Linked DNA regions of Arabidopsis thaliana. The protein of the gene in region 1 interacts with the protein of each later gene in a biochemical or structural test. Each region holds a gene or a part of one and is shown in the gene's direction. Other genes may lie near its edges.

Evidence for each region.
Region 2: the proteins of AT5G57710 (region 1) and RGL3 form a complex in vitro, tested with the Arabidopsis thaliana proteins (one study listed by BioGRID).
Region 3: the proteins of AT5G57710 (region 1) and RGL1 form a complex in vitro, tested with the Arabidopsis thaliana proteins (one study listed by BioGRID).

The regions. Positions count from the first base shown.
Region 1 is NC_003076.8:23,381,949-23,389,514, forward strand, and holds AT5G57710 (Double Clp-N motif-containing P-loop nucleoside triphosphate hydrolases superfamily protein), read left to right. Parts: upstream 1-2,306; 5' UTR 2,307-2,845; coding exon 2,846-4,026; intron 4,027-4,117; coding exon 4,118-4,328; intron 4,329-4,428; coding exon 4,429-4,728; intron 4,729-4,823; coding exon 4,824-6,104; 3' UTR 6,105-6,517; downstream 6,518-7,566. UniProt on the Arabidopsis thaliana protein: Probable component of a transcriptional corepressor complex that acts downstream of MAX2 to negatively regulate karrikins/strigolactone responses. Probable target of MAX2 during germination and seedling photomorphogenesis.
Region 2 is NC_003076.8:5,762,984-5,768,717, reverse strand, and holds RGL3 (RGA-like protein 3), read left to right. Parts: upstream 1-2,471; 5' UTR 2,472-2,830; coding exon 2,831-4,402; 3' UTR 4,403-4,729; downstream 4,730-5,734. Other genes in the region: AT5G17500 (Glycosyl hydrolase superfamily protein), read right to left, coding at 1-89, 406-653, 935-1,339. UniProt on the Arabidopsis thaliana protein: Probable transcriptional regulator that acts as a repressor of the gibberellin (GA) signaling pathway. No effect of the BOI proteins on its stability.
Region 3 is NC_003070.9:24,745,930-24,751,242, forward strand, and holds RGL1 (RGA-like 1), read left to right. Parts: upstream 1-2,175; 5' UTR 2,176-2,397; coding exon 2,398-3,933; 3' UTR 3,934-4,257; downstream 4,258-5,313. UniProt on the Arabidopsis thaliana protein: Probable transcriptional regulator that acts as a repressor of the gibberellin (GA) signaling pathway. No effect of the BOI proteins on its stability.

The DNA.
Region 1 (7,566 bases):
TCAGTTTGAAATTTTGAATACGATTGTTTGATTTTAGTGAATCTGAATAGTGAATACTTATACGATTATTCCTGTTTATTTTTGTCAACTATGTATACGACTTTAGGCGTTGCACAATTAAAAAAAACGTATACCACTTTAGGGCTAATAATATAGAAGCTCACATCTAAAAACTAAAACCCGCTTATTATGATCTTATGATCACATATCTGATAAAATCTTTAGGCCACGTTTCGAAAGTACACACGATTTACTCCTAATTAGAGAGATTATAATATCAAACTATAGATTTCGTGGAAAACCAAAGAAGTAAAATCATTGGTCCGCTTGATTATGTATATCTATTTTCGAAGTTTTAAGAAAAAGATGAATAGAAAAGTTAATAACAAAGCAAATAATAAAACATGGAAATAGAGTATATGTAATAGACTAATAGTAGTTTTAACCTTTAAGCCTTTTCTCGTGCTAAAATCATGTAAGAATTCTTTTGACATTTTAACAAAAAAAATGTAAGAACATAAATAATGAGAGTCACGACAGCTTTTGCTTTAGTTAAGCACACGAGAAATCATCGATTGCAAGTTCATAGTTACTATCTCGCATCCTAACTAAAATGATACAAATGCATTGAGCCTATATCTCTTTTTTTCTTTGCCATAAAGTTATTTTTTATATACATATTGCAAGAGTAAATTCTAAGGTTGAAAGTGCTGTGCCTGTTATACGTAATTAATTCAGTTTTTTTTTTTTTTTTTCTTCCGTAATTAATTCAGTTTCAGTTTTCCTTTTTTTACATACTTTCAAACAAAGTAAAGGTAGTCAACGTTTAGTTGAAAATTTTAAAGTGTGATTGATAGCCAGTATAAAGCAAGATTTTTATCTTTTAATAGTACTAAGTTAAAATTTTAAATGACTCAAAGTAAACGCAGATATTATCACGTTTACTTTAAAACGCGTATTGACTTTGAATGACTTGAGTTTTTCTATTTTAGCAACTAGCAAGCATAACTTTGTATATTAGTTTAGTTTAGTTTTGTTTTGTTTTATCTCCTTACAAAATCGTATTACTTTTTTTTTTGTCGGACAAAATATAGTATTACGTACTAGTTCCTGCTGGAGATCCAAAACTTCTATTATCTACGCTTTTAGTTTATAGTCCAAGTTTTGAATTGTTTTTGTCCTATTAATTAAATCTTTAATGTTTTCATATAATCGAAAGATTTTCAAAACATATATAGACCATCATAATTTTTCTAACCCTATTAAATCATATCAGCTTCCATTTAAAACGTTGATATAATATTCATCTACTTCCACCTACTACTTGTTCTTAAAGTGTGTAACTATATATCACGTGAACTGAATTTTGCCATGAACATCTCATGAACGAGGTACCTAAAAATACATGTTCCTGTTATTCACTTTTGAATTTTGTTTCTAATATATATCACGGAGAAAATGTTGAATTCTGAAAAGTTGACATTTAACAAGAAATGTTGGTTAAAGACTTAAAGCCATGCTTCGAGATGCGACTTCAAATTTTTTTCGTATCACATATTTGTGTTAATGACATTTTTTGTTATCACTCGTTTACAAGTTATCTATATCAACAAAGGCAACAAAAAAAACAAAATAGAAAAAAAAAAAAATCACCTTATATACATGAATGGTGGATTTAGATGAAAAAATGGTTGTGAAAGGAAGTCGAGAATCTAAACTAATCTAATGGAAAATTTAAATAAAATGTTAAGTTTGTCTTATAAATGCATCTCATAGTATATGTTGCATACCACTCTCAATTAGAATAATGGTTCGAATAAAGAAAAAAACCAAATTATTTGCTTTAAAATTTATGTAAAAGAATATTAATTATTTTCTAAACAACAATATATAAGCAAAAAGTATAATTTTTGGTGCCTTTAAAGATGTGATTGTCATATTAAAAAGAAAATTTCCCTAAAGAATTAATGGTCTAATTATTTAGCTAGCTTGTACTCCAGACCAAACCTGTTCTTCTGATGGCTCAAACTTAAAAAAACTTAGGTGATAAATGCAACGAACCAACAGAAAAAAATCAATTTAACTCACATCCACAATTTTTTTTGGTTCATAATTACCACATCCACAATTATTATTATTACTTTTATTATACTCCCACAATATTTTTTTGCCGTATGTATGAAACATACCAATTTTTATAGAGAGGCAGAGATACGCGTACAGCTTTTATAATTGAAAAGGGCAAAAGTAAAGTAGTACTTATTATTCACTTCTTCTTCACCTTTTCTCTTTGAATTTTCTTCTTCACTCTGCAACTTCTCTTCCCCACCTTTCTATATTTACTATTTTCTATCTTCAATTTGTTGGATCCGAAAGTTCCTTCCTTTTTTGTTTTTATTATTCTTTATTCAAAAGCCAGTTTTTGTGATCCATTTGAAATCCCAATTTGTCTACTTCTCCCAATAATAACTCTTTTTATATCTCTTTTTTTCTTCCTTTACTTCAGAAAACAAGTCTACCTTCTTCTCTTCTTCTACCTTCTTCTCTTATAAAACCTATCTAAAGCCTTTTCATTTTTTTGGCCGGTGGGATATTGTTTGAATGAGTTCAACCAAAAATCTTATATATTCTTATCCTTTTTTTTCCCGATCAGAACTCAGTTCATAAAACTTGTCTGAATAATTTAAGAACCCAACTCAAAAGATTCAATTTTTCGTTTTTCCATTTTCCTTCAAAGTCTTAGCCTAATAAAAGATTCGATTTTTATACAATTATTTAATACCCACATATAATTGAAGAAAGAGAGACAGAGAGATAACACAAAAGTGGAAGTAAACGAAGAACGATGAGAGCTGGTTTAAGTACGATTCAACAGACTCTGACGCCGGAGGCTGCCACCGTTTTAAACCAATCAATCGCCGAAGCCGCGCGTCGTAATCACGGCCAAACCACTCCTCTCCACGTTGCAGCCACTCTTCTAGCTTCTCCTGCTGGGTTTCTCCGACGAGCTTGTATCCGATCTCACCCCAATTCTTCTCATCCTTTACAGTGTCGAGCCCTCGAGCTCTGCTTCAGCGTCGCCTTAGAGCGTCTCCCAACAGCTACAACCACTCCGGGGAATGATCCACCGATCTCAAACGCGCTTATGGCGGCGCTTAAACGAGCTCAAGCTCATCAACGCCGTGGTTGTCCGGAGCAACAACAGCAACCGTTGTTGGCCGTTAAAGTTGAGCTTGAACAGCTCATTATCTCGATTTTGGATGATCCGAGTGTTAGTCGGGTTATGAGAGAAGCTAGCTTTTCAAGTCCCGCCGTTAAAGCTACAATTGAACAGTCGTTGAATAATTCGGTTACTCCGACGCCGATTCCTAGTGTTTCTTCAGTCGGGTTGAATTTTAGACCCGGTGGTGGAGGTCCGATGACCCGGAATTCGTATCTTAATCCACGGTTACAACAGAACGCTTCGTCGGTACAATCAGGGGTGAGTAAGAACGATGATGTGGAGCGGGTTATGGATATATTGGGTCGGGCGAAGAAGAAAAACCCGGTTTTGGTTGGTGATTCGGAGCCGGGTCGGGTTATTCGTGAGATCCTTAAGAAAATTGAAGTCGGTGAAGTTGGGAATTTAGCGGTGAAGAACTCAAAGGTGGTTTCTTTAGAGGAGATTAGTTCCGATAAGGCTTTAAGAATTAAGGAATTAGATGGGTTGCTTCAGACCCGATTAAAGAATTCGGATCCTATTGGTGGCGGCGGAGTGATACTTGATCTTGGTGACTTGAAATGGCTAGTGGAGCAACCGAGTTCAACGCAACCGCCGGCTACGGTTGCGGTGGAGATTGGGAGGACGGCGGTGGTGGAGTTACGGAGGCTTTTGGAGAAGTTTGAAGGAAGACTCTGGTTTATAGGGACGGCGACGTGTGAGACTTATTTAAGATGTCAAGTTTATCATCCATCAGTGGAGACTGATTGGGATCTTCAAGCTGTGTCGGTGGCAGCTAAAGCTCCAGCGTCTGGCGTTTTCCCGAGGTGGGTTGTGTTAAAGTTTCTTCTTTTTGCTAAAGAAAAATCTCAGCTTTTATGATTTTTTTTCTTAGCCTAGATTCATGTTTTGATTCAGGCTTGCGAACAATTTGGAATCATTCACGCCATTGAAGAGCTTTGTGCCTGCGAATAGGACATTGAAATGTTGTCCACAGTGTTTACAGAGTTACGAGCGAGAACTTGCTGAGATTGATTCAGTGTCTTCTCCAGAGGTTAAATCTGAAGTAGCTCAGCCTAAACAGTTGCCACAGTGGCTGTTGAAAGCTAAACCGGTTGATCGTTTACCGGTAAGTTCCGGTTATTGAATCTTCTCTTCAACAATTGCAATGGCTTTATGATATGATTGCAGATCATAAATTTATCAGTTTTGTAATGTTTTTATTACAGCAAGCAAAGATTGAAGAAGTGCAGAAGAAATGGAATGATGCATGCGTGCGTCTTCATCCTAGCTTTCATAACAAGAACGAGAGGATTGTTCCGATCCCGGTTCCTATAACGTTGACAACGAGCCCTTACAGTCCTAACATGCTTCTTCGTCAGCCGTTGCAGCCTAAGTTACAGCCTAATAGAGAGTTGCGTGAGAGGGTACACTTGAAGCCTATGAGTCCTTTGGTGGCTGAGCAGGCCAAGAAGAAGAGTCCTCCCGGGAGCCCGGTTCAGACCGATCTTGTTCTTGGACGAGCAGAGGTTTGTTGATTTGAATGTTTGTATACTGTGATGAAAATGTTTATCTAATCGAAATCACAAACCTGACGCTAAATACTTGCGTTTGCGTATTTCAGGATTCGGAGAAAGCAGGAGATGTGCAAGTAAGAGACTTTCTCGGCTGCATATCGTCTGAATCAGTGCAGAACAATAATAACATCAGTGTTTTGCAAAAGGAGAATCTTGGGAATTCGTTAGACATTGATTTGTTTAAGAAGCTGTTGAAGGGAATGACCGAGAAAGTTTGGTGGCAGAATGATGCAGCCGCTGCGGTGGCTGCAACTGTTAGTCAGTGCAAGCTCGGGAATGGGAAACGACGCGGTGTTTTATCAAAGGGAGATGTCTGGTTACTTTTTTCAGGACCGGATAGAGTGGGGAAGAGAAAAATGGTGTCAGCTCTGTCTTCTCTTGTGTATGGGACGAATCCAATAATGATTCAGCTCGGGTCGAGACAAGATGCTGGAGATGGAAATTCTAGTTTCCGTGGTAAAACCGCGTTGGATAAGATTGCGGAAACTGTTAAGAGGAGTCCGTTCTCTGTTATCTTGCTTGAAGATATTGACGAAGCTGATATGTTGGTGCGTGGAAGCATAAAACAGGCAATGGATAGAGGCAGAATCCGTGACTCGCATGGCCGTGAGATCAGTTTAGGTAACGTGATCTTTGTTATGACAGCGAGCTGGCATTTCGCAGGGACGAAAACATCGTTCCTAGACAATGAAGCAAAACTACGAGATTTGGCTAGCGAAAGCTGGCGTTTGAGGTTGTGCATGCGGGAGAAATTTGGGAAACGACGAGCAAGTTGGCTGTGTAGCGACGAGGAGAGGCTGACGAAACCGAAGAAAGAACATGGATCGGGTTTATCTTTCGATCTGAACCAAGCCGCTGATACGGATGATGGTTCTCATAATACGAGCGATCTAACAACAGATAATGATCAAGACGAGCAAGGTTTTAGTGGAAAGCTGTCACTACAATGCGTTCCATTTGCATTCCACGATATGGTTAGCCGTGTAGATGATGCGGTAGCGTTTCGAGCAGTTGATTTCGCAGCTGTGAGACGGAGAATCACAGAAACATTATCTGAGAGATTCGAAACGATCATAGGCGAATCACTATCAGTAGAAGTCGAGGAAGAGGCACTTCAGAGAATCTTGAGTGGAGTGTGGTTAGGCCAAACAGAGTTAGAGGAATGGATTGAGAAAGCGATTGTTCCGGTGTTGAGCCAACTTAAGGCTCGAGTTTCGTCTTCTGGTACTTACGGTGACTGTACGGTTGCTCGGCTCGAGCTAGATGAAGATTCCGGTGAACGAAACGCCGGTGATTTACTGCCGACAACTATTACTTTGGCAGTATGAGAGTTGTAAAACAGAGATTGGAGTTTTGTTGTTACAGTGGACTGTGGAAAAGGGTAGAGATGTAAATATGTCTCAACTGGTTTTGGCGGGGGGAAAGGGAAACAGTTAGGGGTAAAAATAGTAAAAAAAAAGGTGTTTATAGTTCTTTACTTCTTTTTGTTTTACTCCACAGTCTAGATTTTTGTTGTGTTTTATGTATGGTAACGGGAGGGGTGATTTATGTAGCGATTATAGATATATTTATTTGATAGATAAATAATGAAAGATTAATAAAGTTAAAAGTATGTTTTTGTTTTCTCAGTTACAAGATTAATCTAAAGAAGTTCAAACAATTGCATTTTCTTTAGTCGTCGTGTATATTTGGGGACCATTTGATTTAAGAAGAAGTGTAAAAGCAGTTTTTAATGGCAGAAAGAAAATCTGTAACTACTTAGGTTCTTTTGCATTTGTCTATAGAGAACGAAAAAAATGTAAGAGAAAAAGACAAAAATGGAAAGAAAAAAGGCAAACAAAAAGTTTCCAAAAAAAGAAAGATAACACACTTTAAAAGTTGAAAGCTAAAGAAGATAACAAAAAATATTAAATTAAAACAAAGTTTGGTTCACTGAATGATGAACATTGCATGTGTTTCGTCATTTAATTATATAAATTCTTCAATTATTATTGCAATTTGACCTTTTCCTCGTACTCTTTTTTTCTTTTTGTTAATAATTAATTAATAACTAGTAGTATTAAATTATTACTTTATCCTTTAGAAGCCTTACCTGTTACAACTACAAAAAGGTATGACGCAAAAGTCTCCTAGATCCAATACTTTTTAACTAAAATGTATGAAATCTAACGTATAAAGTTGTATAAATGGCTAATTGTTTGTTTGCGTCGAGATAAAGGGGGAAAAGCTGTTGTATTGTGATGTCAAAATAATTAGTACTTTAATATAGTGGTTGGATAACACTAAACATAACCTTTTTGATCAATTAGGGTAGATTTAGATTTATCGAATGCATGAGAATTGTGAAATAATTAAATAATGTATGCCCAATAAATGTGAAAAAGATGGCAACTTGTAAGAAAATTGGAGGGTTTGCTATAAATTTATTGACGCGTTTGATTTGGACAACTCAACTTCTTGTAGAGAAGACTAAGCTGTCTTCTAGTTCAAAGCTTTCATGAAATATCTAATCTTTAAAACCACAATAGTGAATGATCCATGTGAAAAAATAATAATATAAAATTATATAATTGAGAAGATAATATAATGCTGATGTTAGAAAAAGAGAGTGTATATTAACATACAAAATTTTAAATTCAGTCATCACTAGACACAATTGTTGACCTGTACCTCATGGGTTTAATCCTGTGCATGATTGAGAAAAAAAGAAGCTAACCATTAAATTATATATAAGAATGGGCCTGAAGATAGCCCAATAAAGAGACCAAAAGAGTATGTATGTAATGTACG
Region 2 (5,734 bases), about 18 Mb from region 1:
TTAGGTCAGCATCGAAGTTAAGCCCTGAGAGTATGACCAGTACGTTAGGGTTTGATGTATGCACTGCTTCTGCTCCTTTTTGCATGTACCTACATGTGGAAAAATAATAATCATTTTTTCTATTTAAAAAAAGGTTAGAATCAAGTTAATTTATTATTTATATGCGTTGATTCTTGTTGTTAAATTGATGGACATTGGATTCCTATATTAACCAATATAAATATATATTTTTTAATGTACTTGTACTTAACTATTATTGTGGATTTAATTATGTATAGCACAACGGAATATAATCTGTTAAGATCTAAAATAGACAGATAATTAACGTGTATTAATTTCCTTGGCCTTCAAGCTTCACATGGGCGTTATGATAAATAAATGAAAATGGAATTTATAAATACGTACTTGTACCAATCTTTTGATGTATGATTGTAGCCTCTAAGTTCATTCCTCAGGCTCATACCAACAACGTTTTTCACGTTCATAAATATTGTGGCCATCTTCTTAAGACCCAACATCCATAGATCCGGGTTGAATTTTGGGTCGCCAAAGAACGCGTCCGGGTCATCGTTGCTACAACACCACCCCGGTACGGTCTTGTGGTTGTCAAGTATCACCATCACATCATGCCTCCCAAGACTATACACCACAGCCTACACAAACATGTTGCCTTGCGTTAGAAGATATCATATAGTAAAAACAAGAAGCATGTGAAATATATTTTTTTCATTACAACGATGATCAGATCTGAAAAGAAATGGAAAAATAATCATTATTGCAATATAAGATAAAACATGTTTTAGTCATATTTTTCAGTCACAAATGACTTATTTAAAAACCATGGATTTTTAATTGAACATGAAAAGAATAGTTTTTGTTTGAGTTGAAGAAATTATGTAATACTAGAATCACATGATTAATTATGTATTTATACCTGAAAGACATTGATGAGAGGAGTATTGACAATGTATGGATTGTGAGTGTAAATCCCTTGAAGCTCATGATCCAATCCATATCTCTCAAATGATTGTTTCACGGTAACATTAAAGGCTAAAGTGTCATTAATCATTAATTCAAGTGGCCAAGTGAGCCTAACACAATTGAATCCCATGTCTTTTATCTTTTTCGATATTGAATCCATTGGCTGGCTGCTCAGCCCCTCTGCTACCACTGGCTTGAGGTGCGAAGGCCAGTTCGCGCAAGCTAGCTTCACGCGGTGGCCCTTGTTGTTTACGATCCATCGAGACTTTGTGAATAGTGGATAATCTGTTGCTAGGGTTAGAGATATTAATGACAAGAATAAGAACAAAAAGACAGTTAAAGCGATTGCTTTTGCCATGCTTATTTCGTTGTGACTGTGTTTTAGGAAGATCATTAAGTATATATAGAGAGTGAAATCAAGGGTTTTTGTCACAATGATAGGGGATTTGTTGAGTTTCTTTTGTAAGATAATTGACTAAATATTTCAGGGTTGGTTACTTAGTTTGATGATAGGTTTCAAAATGTAAATAAATGAGATATTTACGGAACATTGTGGATAAATATCTTCTTACCACACGTTTTGGATAGTGTAGTTTTTTTTATTGTTCGAATAATTAAGAGGATAATTAGTCAATGGATCATCCGCCTAAAATGTCGAGAAAGTAACTTGGGTAACATTTCAAAACGTATCCGGCCATTAAATAGTCTCGTCATTTATTTGTTTCCCTCAAAATTGCCAATATATCAACGAACGAAGGGTAATATACTAATATATTTAGCTTGTGTATTCATTCGCTAAGTCATATAAAATTACTCGAAACTTTATTTTATACAGGATTATACATTATTTTCACAAAACGGAAAATAATAAGCCATTTGTACTTAGACCAACAAACTAATTCAAGAGTGAAATCTATTTTTATGTTCAGTTCTACTCTATTATAAAAATCTTCTATATATGTAACTATCATGTTTAAAATGATGTTTTTGGTATGGGGAATAAAATTCAATTTACACACATAAAGAAATGAAAACATAATAATAATAAGAAAGCAACGTAATGTTGTAGACGTCTGATACCTAATGTCGACTGCCGCCACATGTCGACCGTGAGGTTGGTCACGTTGTCTCCCTAACTGCAATACTTTGAGCTGTACTTCTATCGGGACCTCTATTTTCTTCTCAAACTTTTTTAAAAATTAGTATTATTTTATACCATTTCGGCAAACAAATTATTAGGAGATAGTATCATTTAAAAAAATAAATATCAAATTTTGTCAGTAAAATTATTACAGTATGTCACGTTAACTAGTTAAAATTTTGTTATAGAAACAAGATACTTGAAGAAAACGGGCTGTTACTTTCGGAGTTTACAAGTTCCATTTCTCGAGAAGAACTATTTGGGTTATCAATATAGGTCATATGATATGACTAATATCTACTGCAGCACCCAATTTAATAATTCTAGAAACTCTAAATTCAACATTTAGTGGGTATTAAAAAATAGTTTAATAGACTATGACAGTCCATTGGACCATTAAACAAAAACTACACGCCCTTATCAGAGCGACGAATTTTTTGTAACTTGGATCAGAAATTCAATAAAGTTATAGTAATAAAAATGAAATAATTTGGAAAAGAAAGAATAGAGAAGAAAACACATGCGAAATTATAATGGCCTGCCTCTCTTCCTTCTTATCTCTTTTACTTACACTCTCCAGGTCCCTCACTTCCCTCATTGGACCTCTCTAACTCTCCTCTCTTACCTTCTCCTGTTTAAATTCTTCTCCTTTCTTTCCACAATTTCTGTCTAACCAATTCCAACACCAAAAAATTCCATTTCTTGACGATGAAACGAAGCCATCAAGAAACGTCTGTAGAAGAAGAAGCTCCTTCAATGGTGGAGAAGTTAGAAAATGGTTGTGGTGGTGGTGGAGACGATAACATGGACGAGTTTCTTGCTGTTTTGGGTTACAAGGTTCGATCTTCAGACATGGCAGATGTTGCACAGAAGCTTGAACAGCTTGAAATGGTCTTGTCCAATGATATTGCCTCTTCTAGTAATGCCTTCAATGACACCGTTCATTACAATCCTTCTGATCTCTCCGGTTGGGCTCAGAGCATGCTCTCGGATCTTAATTACTACCCGGATCTTGACCCGAACCGGATTTGCGATCTGAGACCAATCACAGACGACGATGAGTGTTGCAGTAGCAATAGTAACAGCAACAAGAGGATTCGACTCGGTCCTTGGTGTGACTCAGTGACCAGCGAGTCAACTCGTTCCGTGGTGCTTATCGAGGAGACAGGAGTTAGACTCGTTCAGGCGCTAGTGGCCTGCGCCGAGGCGGTTCAGCTGGAGAATCTGAGCCTCGCGGATGCTCTCGTCAAGCGCGTGGGATTACTCGCGGCTTCTCAAGCCGGAGCCATGGGGAAAGTCGCTACCTACTTCGCCGAAGCCCTAGCTCGTCGAATTTACCGGATTCATCCTTCCGCCGCCGCCATTGATCCTTCCTTCGAAGAGATTCTTCAGATGAACTTCTACGACTCGTGTCCCTACCTGAAATTCGCTCATTTCACGGCCAATCAGGCGATTCTAGAAGCTGTTACGACGTCGCGTGTCGTACACGTAATCGATCTAGGGCTTAATCAAGGTATGCAATGGCCGGCGTTAATGCAAGCCTTAGCTCTCCGACCCGGTGGTCCACCGTCGTTTCGTCTCACCGGCGTTGGGAATCCGTCGAATCGAGAAGGGATTCAAGAGTTAGGTTGGAAGCTAGCTCAGCTGGCTCAAGCCATCGGCGTCGAATTCAAATTCAATGGTCTAACGACGGAGAGGTTATCCGATTTAGAACCGGATATGTTCGAGACCCGAACCGAATCGGAGACTCTAGTGGTTAATTCGGTTTTCGAGCTTCACCCGGTTTTATCCCAACCCGGTTCGATCGAAAAGCTGTTAGCGACGGTTAAGGCGGTTAAACCGGGTCTCGTAACAGTGGTGGAACAAGAAGCGAACCATAACGGTGACGTTTTCTTAGACCGGTTTAACGAAGCGCTTCACTATTACTCGAGCTTGTTCGACTCGCTCGAAGATGGTGTTGTGATACCGAGTCAAGACCGAGTCATGTCGGAGGTTTACTTAGGGAGACAGATATTGAACTTGGTGGCGACGGAAGGAAGCGATAGGATCGAGCGACACGAGACGCTGGCTCAGTGGCGAAAACGTATGGGATCCGCCGGGTTTGACCCGGTTAACCTCGGATCAGACGCGTTTAAGCAAGCGAGTTTGCTATTGGCGTTATCTGGCGGTGGAGATGGATACAGAGTGGAGGAGAACGACGGAAGCCTAATGCTTGCGTGGCAAACGAAACCTCTAATCGCTGCATCGGCGTGGAAACTAGCGGCGGAGTTGCGGCGGTAGATACGTCGTCATAAAGAGGAGAAGAAAAAAGACTTAGCGAACGTGACCTTATGTTTTTATTTTACTTTAACTTACCCCAGTAGTTTCGTTTTGTGACAATTTCGCCCGAAATATTCCGTGCCTTATACTTTTGGGACCCAGTTGGTTCGTTGGTCGTGGAGATTCGAGAACGAGGAACATGTGTGTATGTAACAACAGCACGAGCAAGTGTTTTCATAGTTTGAATAAATATGAAAGAAATGACGTTTATTTTATTTTTTGTCAACGAATTGACGTTACGTTTAATTTCACCCAAAATATATACAAAATGACGCATGAATGAATTTGGACCGACTCGATTATTACATAGAGGCTAACGTTTCTGGGAGATGATGATGATGATAGAAGTAAAGAAGCTAAACCTCACTTGAGTCTTTTTATTCTGAAAAGCCGGAGTCCAAACTCTACTTTTGGGTTTTTTGAGAGGTTTTCATTGTCAGCTTTTGATCAAGTGGGTGAAACCGTTTTGCTTAGGAATGTGTAAAAGAAAACTTGATATTTACTACTAATTTTATCACCACTTTTGAAAAATACATGTATTCATAGAAAGATATGATAAAGTTGGACCACATTCTCATTCTCTAAACTCACTTTAAACATGGCAATGTTTAAATATCCTCAAGTCTTGGAACATCTTCAGACTTACCATTTCTTGATTTTACCCGTAACAACACTTCAATATCTGAGTAGTCAAGACTAAACAATCCGAACAATATCAGCTTTTGATTTTATATAAATATAACTATATAAGACTTCCTAACAAAGAGGAACATGAGTCCCACAGCCACAGCATGTCGTAATCGATGGATGAGACGGCTGTGTAGGCATAGTTATTGGTTTCTCCGGCTAAGTCCTAACATGGACTTAGGAGAAAGTTTGAGGTGAGACCGAGAGGATAGGCGGAGAGGTTTACGTTAAAGAGAATGCATCCGCAATATATTTACTTTTTAAGTAATTCTAAAAATGTAGTTACTTTATTTTATATCAATGATTTAAAATGTATATGCGAGAAGCCTAAACCAAATAATGAACTTTAAGGAACAAAACAAATTATGAATGTTTTGGTTCTCTTCACTGTTAAAGCCATTTTTATATCTTTTTAAAACAAAACATTCGTTGTTGTGGTGTTCAACAAACCAAAACAAAACAAACTAGCCCCCTTTTCAAGAATGATCCACTCACATCACATTACATGGAATTAGGATACAATCATATAAATTAAAACTCACCAAGTGTAAAAACAACAAAAATAAGAATTGACGATGCTTAGAACCAAATCTCTCAATATATATA
Region 3 (5,313 bases), on another chromosome or scaffold:
ATACCCCTTTGAGTGGCTCCACTTTAGTGGACTATTGTTTTCTCTTATTGTACTTTAGGTCCTCGTGAATTAATCTCTCGGACGAAAGTGTTTAGCATGTAGTATTTTAGCCCATTATTTGGGTAACCAATTAATGTTTATTCCCTTAATGTATTGGTGATGATAAAAAGAGCAAGTAGACTACTAAGTTCTTACCAACCAATAACCGAAGGTACCAAACGATTCGAAATTAAAAAGAACGAATAATACTGATGAAAACTGTTGAATTAAACAATGTCATAGAATATAGTCACTTAATTATGACTATTTCTCTTTCAAGGCACTAATCATCCTTGTAAATCATCATACTTTCCAACAAGTATTAGTAAACAAAACCTACTAAACTAAAATAGAACCTTAATTTTAATTATCATTGTTTAGACATTTTTACATACATGTTTTGAGGAAAAGTCTCCTAACTATCATAATGATCAAGTCTAGTCTACTATTAATAGCAAAGAAATTAAAGAAACTATCAAAAATATTTGGACCTAGACATCAACATCTAACAGTATAACCTAATCAATCAAAGTAACAATCTTGGTTCGAAATGAGGATATGCATTATGTGAAAAGGGTCATTGTAGAACTATGAAAAATGGTTATGCATATGGGGAAGCTTAAAAATGTTTTATGATTGCATGTATCTTTCTTAAAGCTCATACCGAAAGAGCTCCACATCTAATAATGGTCGTAACCACACAGTATTTTATTTATTCTCCATCTATCGCCTTTTGAACATGTCTAAAACACAAGTATATAATAAAAATGCGTATTACAACACAAAAATATATAATACTAATATCGCTAATAAGAATATAGAATGATATTATTATATATTCTTGTTGGGTTATTTTGACGACAGTTCTTAAGTCAACTTAATTATTTTTGCAAAAGACATTTTTGCACGTTAGTTGTAATTTTTTTTCGCAACTAAAAATATATGCAAATATTTTACATAAAACATCTTTTGCTTTGTTTTGTCAATCTCTTATGCTTACACTACTTGATAGTCATTTCTTTGAGGAAGAGCGCCAATCCTACAAAAAAAGTAAGAAATATTTATTGTTACAAAGGTGATTCGAATTCGAGTGATAATTTCACAACGACGCTTACAAGAATAGCTAGATTTCATGTATTTTCCGATTACCAATTTTTTTTTGTATCAACAACAACATGCATATGAGTTTGAACTTCGACGGTGTCACATCAGCTCTTGCACACTAGCACAAATCACTAAATTACGTTTTTAGTCAATTAAAAATAATAAAACATATACAAATATGACCACAATCATAATACTACAATTGAATGGCGATGATATAAATTCAATTTTTGTATTAGTAATACGGTTTGAAAATCTACATTCGAAATGTGAAACGTACAATGCCATCATTATGCAAAAAAAAAAACAACTTTCAAACATTATTCTATATGAAATGGAGGAATTGGTAAAAATAGAATTCATTACATCACCTAAAGATTAATCACCCGATAATATAAAAACAGAAAACTAAACAAGATTTCCCTGAAATTTATAGTTTAATATATTTTCTTATGAACATAATGAATTTCTTTATTTATTCTCATTTATGAAGATGATATAAAAGTTTGAACAATAATCACAACACAACACATAAAAAGTAAATCTCCTAATCACCAAAAACTATAAAAATGAAATGTATGTTTTTGTAGTTGAAAAAAGGGTGGTGGTTGGCTTTAGAAATTGGACTTTTAACCTAAATGTTTCTCTACAATACAACTTCCAAATCATAACCGTTATTTAATATTACACCTAGTCTTCATCAAATAATCAAAATCACAAAATAATCAAATATCAAAAACAAGTTGTTATAGTTTTTAATCAAAATAATTATGACATAGCATAGATTATAGAATATCTCGTTCAAATAATGATGTCAGGTTTACATCAATCAAACTGAATTTTCTCGAGAAGCATATTTTGAAAATTAAAATTTATTCGCAGAAAAAGAAGAGAAAGGAATCTACTATTATTTACTGTATATTATATAAAGAGGAAAATAAAATAGGTAAATAAATTTCCTTTTATAATTGCTTTAGATTGCGGTTGTACCACGGCTCTGCTCTTGCTTTTAAGAACTTGCCGGTACTAAATTTCATATACTCCAATTAAAAGCTAGCTCGAAACCCCAAATGTTATTTTATTTTTCTATATAATAATAATCATACATTATAAAAAAAAATCATATCATTATTTAAAAATAGAATTTTATTTTTCTTTCTTCTTCTTCAATTATTATGACACTCCCGTGTTCCTAATCTTTTCTCTTATTCTTCTCTTTCTTCTCATCTTACAAAATCTTGCAAATCAATTTTAATGAAGAGAGAGCACAACCACCGTGAATCATCCGCCGGAGAAGGTGGGAGTTCATCAATGACGACGGTGATTAAAGAAGAAGCTGCCGGAGTTGACGAGCTTTTGGTTGTTTTAGGTTACAAAGTTCGATCATCCGACATGGCTGACGTGGCACACAAGCTTGAACAGTTAGAGATGGTTCTTGGTGATGGAATCTCGAATCTTTCTGATGAAACTGTTCATTACAATCCTTCTGATCTCTCTGGTTGGGTCGAAAGCATGCTCTCGGATCTTGACCCGACCCGGATTCAAGAAAAGCCTGACTCAGAGTACGATCTTAGAGCTATTCCTGGCTCTGCAGTGTATCCACGTGACGAGCACGTGACTCGTCGGAGCAAGAGGACGAGAATTGAATCGGAGTTATCCTCTACGCGCTCTGTGGTGGTTTTGGATTCTCAAGAAACTGGAGTGCGTTTAGTCCACGCGCTATTAGCTTGTGCTGAAGCTGTTCAACAGAACAATTTGAAGTTAGCCGACGCGCTCGTGAAGCACGTGGGGTTACTCGCGTCCTCTCAAGCTGGTGCTATGAGGAAAGTCGCGACTTACTTCGCTGAAGGGCTTGCGAGAAGGATTTACCGTATTTACCCTCGAGACGATGTCGCGTTGTCTTCGTTTTCGGACACTCTTCAGATTCATTTCTATGAGTCTTGTCCGTATCTCAAGTTTGCGCATTTTACGGCGAATCAAGCGATACTTGAGGTTTTTGCTACGGCGGAGAAGGTTCATGTTATTGATTTAGGACTTAACCATGGTTTACAATGGCCGGCTTTGATTCAAGCTCTTGCTTTACGTCCTAATGGTCCACCGGATTTTCGGTTAACCGGGATCGGTTATTCGTTAACCGATATTCAAGAAGTTGGTTGGAAACTTGGTCAGCTTGCGAGTACTATTGGTGTCAATTTCGAATTCAAGAGCATTGCTTTAAACAATTTGTCTGATCTTAAACCGGAAATGCTAGACATTAGACCCGGTTTAGAATCAGTGGCGGTTAACTCGGTCTTCGAGCTTCATCGCCTCTTAGCTCATCCCGGTTCCATCGATAAGTTTTTATCGACAATCAAATCAATCCGACCGGATATAATGACTGTGGTCGAGCAAGAAGCAAACCATAACGGTACCGTATTTCTCGATCGGTTCACGGAATCGCTACATTACTATTCGAGCTTATTCGACTCGCTCGAGGGCCCGCCAAGCCAAGACCGAGTGATGTCGGAGTTATTCCTAGGACGGCAGATACTAAACCTTGTGGCATGCGAAGGAGAAGACCGGGTAGAGAGGCATGAGACTTTAAATCAGTGGAGAAACCGGTTCGGTTTAGGAGGATTTAAACCGGTTAGTATCGGTTCGAACGCGTATAAGCAAGCAAGCATGTTGTTGGCACTTTATGCCGGGGCTGATGGGTATAATGTGGAAGAGAATGAAGGTTGTTTGTTGCTTGGATGGCAAACGCGACCGCTTATTGCAACATCTGCGTGGCGAATCAATCGTGTGGAATAAAAATAAATAATGGGAAAAGTGAAAATGTGCTATATACTTTATTGCATTGCTGATAAAGAAAAAAAGTCCCACGTTTTCCAAATTTTATGAATTCTAAATTTTGTTCACTTGTCACGAGATTTTGACCTCGCATAAATAGACTATTACGTCAGGGTCAGGCCAATGAAATGATTTTTTATCACTTGTTCTCATTAAGGTAAAAAAGGTCTTTTCTATTTCATCTTTGGTTTTCGATAAAATTAAAATTGAATAAGAGATGAAATAATGATATATATAAGGTGATAGTCTGATAGATATGGATAAATGTTTCATGACACGAACCAGTAGTCAAGTTCTTTTGAGAATAATCCTAAGACCATGGACTTTAAATAGATTGGTTAAAGGGTCATTATCTCTTTAATTAAGGAGGACAGTGGTGTGTTTAAAATGTATTTGTGCTCTTTTGACGTTGATTTAATTAGTACCCACCGCCAAATAATATATGAGCATTCCTGTTATCGCATGTTGACATCATTTTAAGAAAATGATTTTCGTAGGTAACATTTTGTTGGTAATCAATTTAACAACTACCAATTTTATTACTTTTAGAAGAAATATGCATGAGCTGACATAATTATACTGTACATAAGTTCATAAGTTTCTGTCGGTAGAGAGGTTTGTTCATCAGGAATTCGTAATGACGCAAAACATAAATTTGTCTTTAGAAACTTTATATGAATATATAAATTTGGGAAACTATTATAAATCCTCATAAATTTTAACAAATTTTCAAATACTTTTACCTTTCTAAAACTTTTATATGTTGTTTCTTATAACTTACTTACACAATTTTGTAACAATTTTCCAAGTATAACCAGAATTGTTTTGGTAATAAAACCTTCCTCAGAATATGTTCTTGGAAACGAGATTTTAATTTGATGGGCATCATCATTCTTCGACACTACAACCATTTTAAAATTTTGTTTTACTCGTTGAAAGTATTTTCTTTTCAATAATGGTGCATTCTAGGTTTGATTAAATTGTGAAGTCCAAACCCAAGCCCAATAAGGGAAGTTTGAGGCCTAACCCAACTCCTAATATAAGTTTCTCGTGTGTGTAATTCTATGATATTACCTTTTTACGATAATTTAATTAGTCATTTTAAAAATCTTTTAATGAACTAATGACGCGTCGAAGCCGCGATTAAAAGCTGCAAAAGTACATGCATGAAGTCAATGTATAACGCTTTCTATGGTATTGACCTTGGCAAGTTTAAATTTTTTAGGCTCATATTTCGGACCATTTAAGGAAAGCAATATCTAGAAATGGAATGTAATTACAAATGTTCTTAAACACGACACCAGTCATTTAGGAAAGAAACACGAGACTTTTTCTCTTTGG